Linked DNA regions of Stegostoma tigrinum. Each later gene encodes a partner of the first gene's protein in a complex. Links are inferred from orthologs where the notes say so. Each region holds a gene or a part of one and is shown in the gene's direction. Other genes may lie near its edges.

Evidence for each region. The genes of interacting proteins can lie anywhere in the genome.
Region 2: thoc5 (region 1) and thoc3 share a complex: the UniProt entries of both Homo sapiens proteins name them as parts of the transcription/export (TREX) complex. The link is inferred for Stegostoma tigrinum from reciprocal best matches to the Homo sapiens genes THOC5 and THOC3.

Annotation. Positions count from the first base shown.
Region 1 is NC_081379.1:20,913,749-20,921,006, forward strand, and holds the start of thoc5 (THO complex subunit 5 homolog), read left to right. Parts: upstream 1-4,247; 5' UTR 4,248-4,323; coding exon 4,324-4,425; intron 4,426-5,006; coding exon 5,007-5,150; intron 5,151-7,258. UniProt on the Homo sapiens protein: Component of the THO subcomplex of the TREX complex which is thought to couple mRNA transcription, processing and nuclear export, and which specifically associates with spliced mRNA and not with unspliced pre-mRNA.
Region 2 is NC_081366.1:46,164,185-46,171,829, forward strand, and holds the start of thoc3 (THO complex subunit 3), read left to right. Parts: upstream 1-4,632; 5' UTR 4,633-4,647; coding exon 4,648-4,830; intron 4,831-6,204; coding exon 6,205-6,361; intron 6,362-7,645. UniProt on the Homo sapiens protein: Component of the THO subcomplex of the TREX complex which is thought to couple mRNA transcription, processing and nuclear export, and which specifically associates with spliced mRNA and not with unspliced pre-mRNA.

The DNA of each region.
Region 1 (7,258 bases):
GGGAAGGCGGACCGAAGATGGATAGAGGAAAAGATAGGCGGAGAGGAGAGTATAGGTGGGGAGGTAGGGAGTGGATAGGTCACTCAGTGAACATGGTTTTTAAAACTAAAGCCATAAATTCGTTAGGCATGATTTTCACTTCATGAAACCATGCTGACACTCCTTGAAAGTGTTATTCACTCCTAAATACTTCACTATCACATCCTTTATAATGGGCTGTAATACTTTCTCAATTACAGATGTTAAGTTAACTGGCTTCTAGTTACACTTTTTTTTTGTCTCCTTTCCCTTCTAAAAAAAAGTGATACAATGGCAGTTTTTGATTCCTCTGCAACTTTTCCAGAATTTTAATGCTTTTTCATAGATTACTACCAGTGCATCAACTATCTCTGCACCTACTTCCTTTACCATTCTAGGAGGTAACCCATCAGATTCAGGGGACATATCAGCCTTTAGCCCCATTAATGTCCATAGACCTTTTCTTGAGTAATGATAGTTAATGTATTTATATCTTCTCCTCCCTCTGACCTTGATTATTTAGTACTTTTGTAATACAATTAGTCTCTTCTGCTGTGAAGACTTATACAAATTATTTAATCGACTCCTTTGCTACTCTTTGGTTCATGTTATTTCCCGAGCCTCATTCTCTAAGGAACAAATGTTCATCCAGTTATAGAGCCACACAGCATGGAAACAGACCCTTTGGTCTAACCAGTGCACATGTCCCAACATGTCCCCAAACTAATCTAGACCCACCCATCTATGCTTGGCCCATATCCCTCCAAACCTTTCCTACTCATGAACTCATCCAAAAGTATGTTAAACATTGTAACTGTACTTGTATCCACCACTGGCAGTTCATTCCACACACAAACCACTATCTGTGTAAAAAAGTTACACCTCATGTCCATTTTTAAATCCTTCTCCTCTCATCTTAAAAATATGTCCCTTAGTTTTGAACTCCCCCACCCGTGGAAAAGACCCTTGTCATTCACCTTATCAATGTGCCTCATGATTTGTAAACCTCAATAAGGTCACCATTTTGGCTTTTCACTTCCTTCTTATACATTTAAAGAAGCTCTTATGATCTGTTTTGACATTACATGCTAGTTTACCTCCAAAGCTTATTTTGTCTCTCATTTGTTCTTGATCATCTTTGTTGGTAATTAAAACCTAACCAATCCTCTAATTTCCCACTAATCCTTACCACATTGTAGCTTTTAAATCTGAAATTACCCTTTATTGGTTAACTACTTATTATTAGGTACAATACAGTATAATTGGCTCCACCATGAGCAATTGATGCGGTCTTTACATATTAAGTAGTTAAGTTCTTTTGTTAGCTTTGTGTCAAGCTCACCCCTTGTTCCTACTGCTGAAATCCTCATTCATATTTTGGTTAGCTGTTGCCCGTGTGTTAAATCAAACAAAATCCTTTTGCTTGCTGACCTACATTAGCTCCTTGTCAAAGAACATTGTTTGTAAAATTATAATCCTTGCCTTCAATTCCTCCATGGCCTCTGTAATCTCCTCCAGCCATACAATCTTTCAAGTTATCTGCACTCACCTAAATGCAGCTTCTTGACCATCCCCAATTCTAATTGCTTCACGGTTGTGGCTACACTTCAGACACCTCAGGCCTGTTGTATGAAATTTTCACTCTCTGCCTTGAAAACTCCCTTAAAACCTATCTCTTTGATCAAGGTTTTGTTTGTTTCATTTAATGTAGTTATGTATCATACTCTGAATTATACTTATCCATTGAACAGCCTTGGCACATTTTATCATTAGAGGTGCTAGATAAATGTAAGTAGTCAATGTCAAAAGTAATATTAACATTGTATACTTCACAGAGGATAATCAAACGTCCCAAATTTTATGCTTCTTCCCTATATTCCAGGCAATTGTCCTGTGTCTGAGGTTGATTGCTATCAATTTGGATCCAATTCAGTGGTTGAGACATAAAACCCAGAATAACTTTATTTTTGTTTAATCAGCCTGCTTAAACATGTAATGGCATAGTTCCTTAGGTAGGATGTGAACTCAGAGTTTCTGACCGCAAGGTAACCACTGTGGCACATTATCACTGCACTACAAGTGGCACGTGGTCTTCTTGTTGCTCCCCTTTTAAGTAAAAACTGACAGTGCTGGGGAAACTCATAAGGTCTGCCTGGATCTGCAGACAGACAATGAGAGTTCGAGTATCAATTCTGATGTGATTCTTCAGCAGAACTCTTCAGGCCCTCTTTTAAACATTTGCAGAACCCAGCCCCCACCCACTCCCACAGGATGTCCACGTTCTTCAAGGACCGCAACTTTCCCCCCCACAGTGGTCGAGAACACCCTTGACCACGTCTCCTGTATTTCCCGCAACACATCCCTCACACCCCACCCCCACAACAACCGCCCCAAGAGGATTCCCCTCGTTCTCACATACCACCCCACCAAACTCCGGATACAACGCATCGTCCTCCGACACTTCCACCATCTACAATCTGACCCCACCACCCAAGACATTTTTCCATCCCCACCCTTGTCTGCCTTCCGGAGAGACCACTCTCTCCGTGACTCCCTTGTCCGCTCCACACTCCCCTCCAACCCCACCACACCCGGCATCTTCCCCTGCAACCGCAGGAAGTGCTACACTTGCCCCCACACCTCACCCACATCCCAGGTCCCAAGATGACCTTCCACATTAAGCAGATGTCCACCTGCACATCTGCCAATGTGGTTTACTGTATCCATGGTACCCGGTGTGGCTTCCTCTACATTGGAGAAACCAAGCAGAGGCTTGGGGACCGCTTTGCAGAACACCTCCGCTCGGTTCACAATAAACAACCGCACCTCCCAGTCGCCAACCATTTTAACTCCCCCTCCCATTCCTCAGACGACATGTCCATAATGGGCCTCCTGCAGTGCCACAATGATGCCACCCGAAGGTTGCAAGAACAGCAACTCATATTCTGCTTGGGAACCCTGCAGCCCAATGGTATCAATGTGGACTTCACAAGCTTCAAAATCTCCCCTTCCCCCACTGCATCCCAAAACCAGGCCAGTTCTTCCCCTCCCCCCACCGCATCACAAAACCAGCCCAGCTCGTCCCCTCCACCCACTGCATCCCAAAACCAGTCCAGCCTGTCTCCGCTTCCCTAACCTGCTCTTCCTCTCACCCATCCCTTCCTCCCACCTCAAGCCGCACCTCCATTTCCTACCTACTAACCTTATCCCGCCTCCTTGACCTGTCCCCTCTCCACCTATCTTCTTTTCTCTCCATCTTCGGTCCTCCTCCCCCTCTCTCCCTATTTATTTCAGAACCCTCTCCCCATCCCCCTTTTCTGATGAAGGGTCTAGGCCCGAAACGTCAGCTTTTGTGCTCCTAAGATGCTGCTCGGCCTGCTGTGTTCATCCAGCCTCACATTTTGTTGTCTTATGCCTGAATATCACTTGGCTTTACTCTACTTCATAAGGAATCACACATGCAGGTTTTTCTTTTAGTTTCCTTTTATGAAGTGAATAATGTCGTTCTGAAAAAGGGTCAACTGGACCCGAAACCTTTCCTGCCTTATCTCCGTAGATGCTACCCGACCTACTGTGTTTCTCCAGCAATTACAGTAAACTGTGTGCAGAGTCTAACTTCTGAGTTTTACCTGCTATTGAAAAATTGGTATAATTAAAAATGTATGGTAGTTCATTAAAATTAATGCCAGTGGTTACTTTAACAGTTTATTCTTCCAGAGATTTTGCACTTGTTAAAAGGAATCCTAATCCCAGTGAGTGAACCAAAGTCAGTAACTGTATTTTTCCAGTGCGTAAGAGTCACACAAAACAAAGAAAAACTACACGCAATTCCTGACACTGTCCAGAAATACAATTTTATCCCTTGTACGCTGCTGATTAGTTTACCTCAATCGCCCTCAACAGGCAGGGAGGACTCTTCCCTCACTGCGAAAACAGCGCCCCCGGCAGTTGGGGAGGATTCCATTCCATCCATTGGTGCAGAAACAGCGCCCCCGGCAGTTGGGGAGGATTCCATTCCATCCATTGGTGCAGAAACAGCGCCCCCGGCAGTTGGGGAGGATTCCATTACATCCATTGGTGCAGAAACAGCGCCCCCGGCAGTTGGGGAGGATTCCATTCCATCCATTGGTGCAGAAACAGCGCCCCCGGCAGGTGGGGAGGGTCCCATTTCGTCCATTGGTGCAGAAACAGCGCCCCCGGCAGGTGAGGAGGTATAGTTTTCCCATTTCTTCCGCCTGGACCCCCGCCTCTCCTGTGGAAAGAGTTTCTCGGTCACTGTCCGATTGCTGGGGCCGGAAAGTTGTAATGTCCGCTGATTCGGCGAAGAAGCGAAAAACCAAAGTGATTCGGAGTGATGGCGGAACGGTGGAGAAGGAGAGCAGAAAGGCTCGGGGTGATGGAGACCAGGTGGGGAGAGGCTGAATCCGATGAGGCTAGGGTGCCGAGGCCTAGCCCGGCCCGACCTGTCCAGGCCAACACATTGAGCTGTTTGTTCACATACAATAAGCAGAAGGGGAGCCTAATCCCTCCTGACAGATACCTTGTTCCCCTGTGTAGGAATGACTGAACGTGAAGGGATATGAGAGCGCGAACATTTTATTTTATTGGACTTTTACCCGAAATTTCTGTTGAAACTGGTTGTGTTTGGGCTAAAGAGTATCTCAGTATCCTGTTGTCCTTTGAAAGTTGAAGTTAAAAGATAAATCTCCGCATCTGGAATTTTTTTTAATTTTAGGAGATATAATTTCAGTCTCGAGTGCTGGTATAATCAGCTGAACCGGACTAAAGTTGATTCAGTGTTTGAGCAGAAACCACAAATTTAAGAATCCTTCCTGATGTTATGTCCAACCCTTTCACATTTTATAATTCCTATTTGGCAATGTCACTTATTTAGCCACCTCAATGTACATCAGTAGTCATTATCAGTTACTGTTAATTGTTTGTAATTTCTATAAAACTGTAAAATACATGTATGTGTTCTTTATTAGGAGAGTAAAGTTTATAGTGAAGAGGCGGAAGTGGAGACACGAGACCCTGCTAAAGACTATGATATGTACAAGAAAACCTGTGAGGATCTCCAAAGGTTGATGGCTGAGATTCATGAATTAAAGAGTAAAGGAGGAAAAGATGCTGTAAGTGGCACTGAATTTATTTAAGTGAAAAAAAATCAAACACTGTGCTGAAAATCTCAGCTGAAAGTAGAAATTACTGGAAATTCTAAATCTGGAGTAGCTATGGTTAGAAGAAGAGAGGTAATGTTTCAGGCTGATAATCTTTCACCAGAGTTGATAGATCATTGAGCTGAAATGTCAACTCTTCCCTCAATTCAAGGATGCTGCCAGACTGCTGAGTATGTACAGCATGTTCTGTTTTTATTTACATTTTAATCTTTTTCCCCAGGTAAGTAGCAAGAGCAGTGAATCGCACATTCACGTCTATATTGTTTTTAAAACTTACTATAATTCAATTTGGTAGTCTAATATAGTTCCTAACTGGCCTTAGATGTTAAAACTAGACGGGCTGTAAAGGAATGAGAAGGCAGGTCAGTAAAGGCGGCACGGTGGCTCAGTGGTTAGCACTGCAGCCTCACAGCGCCGGGATCCGTGTTCGATTCCAGCTTCGGGTAACTGTCTGTGCAGAGTTTGCACATTCTCCCCGTGTCTGCATGGGTTTCCTCCGGGTGCTCCGGTTTCCTCCCACAATCCAAAGACATGCAAGCTAGGTGGATCGGCCATGTTAAATTTCCCGTAGTGTTAAGGGGTGTGTGGGTTATAGGGGGATGGGTCTGGGTGGGATGCTCCAAGGGGCGGTGTGGACTTGTTGGGCCAAAGGGCCTGTTTCCACACTGTAGGGAATCTAATCTAATCTAAAGGGTTGGGTATTTAACACCTGATGCTTGCTGAACTGCTGCTGGAAGAAATTTTAAGAACTATGGACATAATACAGAATAGTATTGTATGTATTTTTTGGATGTCATAATTTTGCTTCTGTGTTTTTATCTGTAAATAAAAATTGAATAATGGTGTAACAGAGTGATGTGGCCTGCTGTCAGAAGAGATAGTAAAATGAAGGAAATGTCTTGGGTATTTTCTCATGGTAAGCTGACTCCTTGAACCACTGCAGTTCCTCTGATACAGATATAGCTGCAGAGCTGTTGGAGAAGCAGTTCCAGGATGTTGACCCAGCAAAAGAATGATAAGGTATTGCAGCAGGTGTATGCCATATGGCCTATTGAGTCTGATCTGCATCGACTATATGAACTAGGCACAAGAATAGGCTACAGATCCTGCTCTACCATTCGATAAGGTTATGGCTGATCTAATTTTAACCTCAACTTTGCATTCTTGCATACCCTGGATAATCCTTCTTTCCCTTGGTAATCAATCTGCCATTCGATGAGATCATGGCAGAGCTGCCACTCCTGAACTGCACTTCCCCCATAACCCTTGATTCCCTTACTGATTAAAATTTTGTCTATCTCTGCTTTGCACATTCTTAACAACCTAGCCTCTGTGGTAAAGAATACCACAGATTAAACATTTTCTGAGAGAAAAGATTTCTTCACATCTCTGTCCTAAATGAGCAGCCCCTTGCTCTGACATTATGAGCAATGATATTTTTCTGGAGCAGCGATGTGTTTCCAAAACATCATGGTGAGTGATTTGGAAGATAATCTGTAAGTGGTGATGTTTCCATGTATCTGCTGTCCCGGTTTCTAAATGTTCAAGGTTGTAGGTTTGGAGACAAATGCTGTTAAAGGAGTGTTGATTTGCTGCAGTGCACCTTGTAAATAGTATACATTGCTTTCACTGCACATCGTTGGTGGAGGGAGTGATTGTCTAAGGTATTAACAGTGGTGTCAGTCAAGTAGGCTGCTTTGTCCTGGATGATGTTAAGCTTCTTGAGTGTTGTTGGAGCAGCACCATTTCAGGCAAATGGTGTCCTTTGAGAGTTTTCATTTATACCTTGTGCACGATGACAGACATTGGGGAGACAGATGGGTTACTTGTTGCAGAATTCCCTGTTCTCATAGCCACAATATAAACATTGATGGCAGGTCCAGTTCAGCATGTGGGCCTTGGTAACCCTCTGGATACTCGTAACCTACAAACCTTTGACTCAGCGATGACAATGTGGCTAACTGTGCCATGTTCACACTTTGAGGAGCTGTTAGCTGAAGATGTAAATGAAAATTAATCAAATATAATTGAAAAATCAGTAATAGGAAGAACTTCTTTAT
Region 2 (7,645 bases), on another chromosome or scaffold:
GGCAAGTCCCATTTGCTTCAGAGATAATGGGAACTGCAGATGCTGGAGAATCCGAGATAAAGTGTAGAGCTGGATGAACACAGCAGGCCAAGCAGCATCTTAGGAGCACAAAAGCTGACGTTTCAGCTAATGTGGCAGCTTTTGTGCTCCTAGGATACTGCTTGGCCTGCTGTGTTCATTCAGCTCGACACTTTGTTGTCCCACTTGCTTTAACTACCTTACTAACCTGTCCTGCCACCTGTGGATAAAACACCCCAAAAACCCTGTTTCTGAGCTGCCATTCATTGAGTACTCCTTTGTCTTGTTACTTCCTTCCAAAGGGCATCACCTCAAACATATCCAGTTTATATTCCACTGATTTACCATCTGGCCAATACATCTATATCCCCTTGTAACCGAAGAACTGCTTCCTCACTGTCAACTATCCGGCCAATCTACATATCATCTGCCAACTGACTTATCACCCCTTCCACAATTTATCCTCTCTCATGTCTACATGTAACAAACAATAAGGAATCCATACTGATCCCTATGGACACTGGCCTCCAAACACACAAACAACATTTTACCATTATCCTCTGTCTCCGAACGCTGAGCCAATTTTGGATCCAAATTGCCAAGTTACATAGATCCATAAGACCATAAGACATAGGAGTGAAAGTAAGGCCGTTCGGCCCATCAAGTCCATTCCGCCATTTAAATCATGGCTGATGGGCATTTCAACTCCACTTCCCTGCACTCTCCCCGTAGCCCTTGATTCCCTGTGAGATCAAGAATTTGTCGATCTCTGCCTGGAAGGCATCTAACGTCTTGGCCTCCACTGCACTCCGTGGCAATGAATTCCACAAGCCCACTACTCTCTGGCTGAAGAAATGTCGTCTCATTTCAGTTTTAAATTTACCCCCTCTAATTTTAAGGCTGTGCACACGGGTCCTAGTCTCCCCACCTAACAGAAACAACTTCCTAGCGTCCACCCCTTCTAAGCCATACATTATCTTGTAAATTTCTATTAGATCTCCCCTCAACCTTCTAAACTGTAATGAGTACAATCCCAGGATCCTTAGCCGTTCATCATACGTTAAACCTACCATTCCAGGGATCATGTGTGTGAATCTCCGCTGGACACGCTCCAGGGCTAGTATGTCCTTCCTGAGGTGTGGGGCCCAAAATTGGACACAGTATTCTAAATGAGGCCTAACTAGAACTTTATAAAGCCTCAGAAGCACATCGCTGCTTTTATATTCCAACCCTCTTGAGATAAACAAAAACATTACATACGCTTTCTTAATCACGGACTCCACCTGCAAGTTAACCTTTACAGAATCCTAGACCAACACTCCCAGATCCCTTTGCAATTCTGCTTTACGAATTTTCTCACCATTTAGAAAATAGTCCATGCCTGTATTCTTTTTTCCAAAGTGCAAAATCTCACATTTACTCACATTGAATTTCATCAGCCATTTCCTGGACCACTCTCCTAAACTGTCTAAATCTTTCTGCAGCTTCCCCACCTCCTCAGTACTACCTGCCTGTCCACCTATCTTTGTATCATCGGCAAACTTCGCCAGAATGCCCCCAGTCCCTTCATCCAGATCATTAATATACAAGGTGAACAGCTGTGGCCCCAACACTGAACCCTGCGGGACACCACTCATCACCGGTTGCCATTCCAAAAAAGAGCCTTTTATCCCAACTCTCTGCCTTCTGTAAGACAGCCTATCCTCAACCCAAGCCAGTAGCTCACCTCGAACACCATGGGCCCTCACCTTGCTCAGCAGCCGCCCGTGAGGCACCGTATTCCATGTACTTTCATTTTCTTTATTAATTTCCCACATGGTACCTTGTCAAAACCTTTGCTAAAATCCACATAAACATCAAATGCACTACCCTTATCCGCACATCTCGTCACCTCTTTGAAAAATTCAATCAAATTTTGTTAGATATGAATCTCCCTCTAAAGTGCCGACTATCCCTGATCAAACTTTGCCTTTTGAAGTAGACATTGATTCTCTCTTTCAGAATTTTTTCCAATAGTTTCCTACCATTAATGTGAGACTCAATGTTCTATAATTCCCTGGTTCATCTCTCCAACTCATCCTGAAAAGTGCAACCTCATTAGTTGTTCTCTAATCCTCTGACACCTCTACTGAGGTCATACAGGAATTAATATTTGGGTCAGAGCTAATGTAATTTCCTCTTTTGTCTTCCACAGCAGCCTGGGATACAAATCATCTGGACCTGGGGATATCTTCATTTTAAAGCTTCCCAAAATCTCTAATGTCTCATCACTCCCTATGCCAAACTGCTCAAAAACATTACAGACTCTTTTCCGAAAAATCAATCAGAAACCTTATTACCTTGAAAAAAATACTTGGTTGAGGACTTGAACTGCCAAAAAATTCAAAACGATGGACCATGTGCTGGAAAGTGGGATCATTATTGACAGTAGTTTTTTTGTCAGTGCAGACTTGAAGGGTGGAAGGCTGTCATCGATGATTTTATGATCTGGGACCTGATATATAACTACAGTTTTTTGAAAACTTAGTGTTATCAATTTGTCCCGTCATATTTCCAAAATTTTACTCATGAACATTGTTTTCCTCTACCATAAACAAATATCCAAAACAGTAGGGGCACATTGTATTTTTTGTTACTGCTTCTGCAATCCGTTAAAATTAGTATGGACTGATCTATCAGTCAGGAGACAGAAGTGAAGTACTCATTTAACATGTTTAACATTATAAACTCATTTGATGTCCTCTGACTCCACACATAGATTGCCCCCTTGGTCCGTCGCAAGGCTTGAATTTTCCATGGTAATCCTCTGCCCCCTAATATACTTATAGAGCATCTTGGGATTCTCCTTAATCTTACTTGCCAGTATTTTCTCATGCCCCTTCTTTAGTTTCCCAATTACTTTCTTAAGATCCCCCCTTTGTGCTTCCTACACTAGGGCAATGAAGCTTCTGGTCATATGCTCCCTTTGAAGCTGTTAAAAGTCTCTCTTTTCCTTCTTATCCTGTACTGAATATTCCTAGTCATCTAGGGTCCTCTGTGCTTGTTGCTCCTACATTTGCCCCTAAATGTACACATCTGACATTCACCCAGAGGGTTAGAAAACAACCACCCAGAGGGTTAGAGAATTGTGGACATCCAGACTCACCGCCTAGAGGTACAGTCAGAGGTAGAAACTCTCAAGACATTTAAGAACAATTTTGATGGGAACTTGAAACACCATTGCATATGAAGCCAAGAGCCAAGTGCTGGAAAATGGTATAGAATAGATGGATGTTTCACGGCCAGTATGGTATGATCGGCTGAAGGGGAACTTACCATACTGTCAAAAACCTTTCTGACCAAGGCTGGTTCTACTTTATTATTTTGATATTAACATTATTTTTTTCCTGCTTTCCCCCTCTTTTCTTTAGAATAAAGTTCCATGGATTATAGACATCCTCCAGTACTCAATCTAAATTTGCTGTACTTGAAACATTTTATAACTCTCACCTAAAGTATACACTTGTGTACTTTCAGCAGATGTTGGTGAATGAAAACCCTGGTTTAGTTTCCCCTACCTAGCTTTACCCTGGAGCATTAGAGGCTGACAGCTAACCTTATAGAGGTTTATAAGATCATGATAGCGTGGATAGCCAAGGTCTTTTGCCCAGGGTGGAAGAGACCAAAACTAGAGCCAAAATGTCAGTTTTTGTGCTCCTGAGATGCTGCTTGGCCTGCTGTGTTCATCCAGCTACACACTTTGTTATCCAAAACTAGAGGGCATAGGTTTAAGGTAAGAGAGGAAAGATTTAAAACAGACCTGAAGGGTAACTTTTTCACACAGAGGGTGGTGCATGTTTGGAATGAACTGCCAGAGGAGGTGGTGGAGTCTGGTACAATTACAACATCTTAAAGACATCTGGATGTGTACATGAATAAGAAGTGTTTAGAGGGATATGGGCTAAATGCTGGTAAATGGGACTTGATCAGTTTAGGATATCTGATCGGCATGGATGAGTCAGACCGAAGGGTCTGTTGCTGTGCGGTATGACTCTATGAATCTATGAGTGAGGATTGTACAGCCCTCTCCTGTGAAAGAACCAAACAGAAATGCATGAACAGAGATAATGGGAACTGCAGATTCTGGAGAATCCAAGATAACAAAGTGTGTAGCTGGATGAACGCAAATCCCCACCTATACTCTTCTCTCCACCTATCTTCTCCTCTACCCATCTTCGGTCCGCCTCCCCCTCTCTATTCCAGAACCCTCTCCCCATCCCCCTCTCTGATGAAGGGTCTAGGCCCGAAACGTCAGCTTTTGTGCTCCTGAGATGCTGCTCGGCCTGCTGTGTTCATCCAGTTTCACACGTTGTTATCTCAGAGATGCAGTGAAAGGGTCATTACCCCTTTAAGACAGTAGTAAGTGATATCTGACCGTACCATTTCTTTCCAGGGATGGATTTTAGAGCACAAACTTTTCAAAAATGAAAACTGGTTGCATTTTCAAATATGTTTAGAGAGAAAACATGATTTTTAAAACGACATAAGTATCAGTTGTGCCCGAGGTCTGCAGTCACCAAGTAATCCCTGTGACCATTCGCTCACGCCTCCCCCATCCAGATTGTGAGAGGAGTGGACCGAGCCGGCAAGATGGCGGCAGCCAGTTACTTGCTGGAATCCCAGGAGCATTTCAAAAATAACGGCCGCACCAAGGAATTCTCGGCCCATACGGCCAAGGTGCACTCGGTGGCTTGGAGCTGCGATGGACGCAGGCTCGCGTCTGGCTCCTTCGACAAAACAGCTAGTGTGTTTGTGCTAGAGAAGGATCGGCTGGTCAGTGGCGAGATGAAACAGAGAGAGGATGAGAGGGGAATCAACCTTCAACTCGGTTTATCTCCCTCTTGCCCCAACACACACACACACACACACACACAGCACACAAGCCGTCCGGCCTCCGTCACTAAAGTATCCAGCACCTGATAAAGTACCCCCAATACAAGCCCTCCAAAATGCTCCCACTCCCCCCGACACCCGTACCCGTGCTCGTTCGGTGTTCTGTTTCTACTTTCCCCCCGCACCCCCTGTCATAAAAACCGAAAGGGCTGCGGATGTTGTAAATCAGAAACAAAACAGAAAAACTCAGCAGGTCTGGCAACATCTGTGAAGAAAAAAAAATCAGTTAACTTTTCGGGTCCGGTGACCCTTCCTCAGATGCTGCCAGACCGGCTGAGCTTTTCCAACGACTTCTGTCTCTCTCCCCGTCATGACTACTTAGTAACCTTAACTCCTGGAATCCCTACACTGCGGGAAAAGGCTATTCTGCCCTCTGAAGGAATCCCACCTTGACCCCAAACTTGTTCCCCGTAATCCCACATTTACGATGACTAACCCACCCAGCCTACACATCCCTGGATACTATGGGGTAATTTAGCATGGCCCATCCACCTAACATGGATGTAAGTGCTGGCTCCATGGTAACACGTCCGCCTCAGTGCCAGTGGACCGGTTTTGGTGCCAACCTTGGGTGACTGTGTGGGGTTCTGCTGGGTGCTCTGGTTTTGTCCCATAGCCCGAAGGTGTGCAGGCTAAGTTGGTTAGCTGTAGTCAATTCATAGTTATATGGATAAAGTGGGATGCTCTCCAGAGGGTGGTGCACGTTTGATGGGCTGTATGGTCTCTTTCCAGACTTTAGAGATTCTATGATTTTTGGGAACCTCATATAATTGAAATTGATCAGCAGAGACTGAACTCCTGAGAATTTTCGGTACACACTTTCACTTTTTTTTTCTTTTAATCTTAATTTTCATGAAGAATGAGGTCAGCCAATTGATACCCTTCGGAAGTCACAAATGAACTGTAAATTTTTTGTATGTCTACCAGTTATTTGAAACAAGGTAATGTTTGCACTTTTGCCTTTCTCACATTGAGGCATGATATAAAATTGTGTTCATTACTAACCGTGACTGCATAGTTATTTTGTTGATGTGCTGAGTGAGAAATGGTTTTCTATGCTTTGAAGAAATTTTCAACTGTACTTGCCATCATCACAGGGAAATAACCAATGTGACACTCATTTCCAGGAAAGCTACTCACTCACCAACAAATATAGTCCACCTTTCTTTACAGAAAGTGGATCATACAGCTATAACATTTTTATTTCGCATTCAGTTCACTTATTTCTTTATGTAACATTTTTGCGTATTTCAGGTTAAGGAGAATAATTATCGTGGTCATGGTGACAGTGTGGATCAACTTTGTTGGCACCCAACCAATGCAGATCTCTTTGTAACTGCCTCTGGTGACAAAACGGTTAGAATCTGGGATGTCCGAACTGCAAAATGCGTTGCTACTGTGAACACGAAAGGTATGTTATTGAGGAATTTCCTGGATACTGTAATATATGACTTAATGTATAAAAATTTTGTTCATATAATGAAGGGTTAGGAATGACTTGACTGACTACAGTATGAAAATGCTGCTTCCAACTTAAATAGTTGAGATGCTCTATATTTAGGATTTTTGTCACCAAAGATTGCATATCATCGTTCTCTACAAATATACTATCATTTCTTAGTATGTTATTTCAAGACTGTAAGATATAGGAGCAGAATTAGACCAATTGACCCATTAGGTTTACTGTGCTATTCAATCATGGCTGATATGTTTCTCAACAGCATTCTCCTGTCTTCTTCCTGTAACCCTCGATTCCCTTACTATTCAAGAACCAATCTTTCTCTTATTTAAGCACACTTAATAACTTGGCCTCCACAGCCCTCTACAGCAAACGTGTTCCACAGGTTAACAGAGAGAAACAGGGGGAGGCGGATAGAAGATGGATAAAGGAGAAGATTGGGTGAGAGGAGATAGACAGATCAAAGAGGTGGGGTTAGAGCCAATGAAGGTAAATGTAGGTGGGGAGTTAGGGGGGGATAGGTCAGTCCAGGAAGGATGGACGGGTGGGGTATGGTGGGAGCGGGACGAGGTTAGTGGGTAGGGGATGGGGGTGGGGCTTGAGGTGGGAGGAATGGTTAGGGAGGCGGGGACTAACTGGGCTGGTTTTGGCATGTGGTCGGGGGAGGGGAGATTTTGAAGCTTGTGAAGTCCACATTGATACCCTTCGGCTGCAGGGCTCCCAAGCGAAATATGAGATGCTGTTCCTGCATCTTTCGGGTAGCGTCATTTGTGGCAATGCAGGAGGCCCAGGATGGACATGTTGTCTGAGGAGTCGGGTTGGCGGGGGGGTGGGAGGAATTGAAATGGTTCGCGACTGGGAGGTGTAGTTGTTTGTTGCGAACAGAGCGTAGGTGTTCCGCAAAGCAGTCCCCAAGCCTCCGTTTGGTTTCCCCAATGTAGAGGGATTAGCGGATACAGTATATGTGAGAAGTCTTCTGAGAGCCTGGGACCAGGGTGACGTATAGAGGCAGGTGTAGCACTTGCTTCTGTTGCAGGGAAAAGTGCGGGGATGGTGGGGCTGGAGGGGAGTGTGGAGTGGACAAGGGAGACACGGACAGAGTGGTCCCTCTGGAAAGCATATAAGAGTGGGGAGGGAAAAATGTCTTTGGTGGGGTTGGATTGCAGATGCCTACAGGAACGGCATCAGAATGATTCTACACACCCTGACACACTCATCACACTACCCTACATCAGG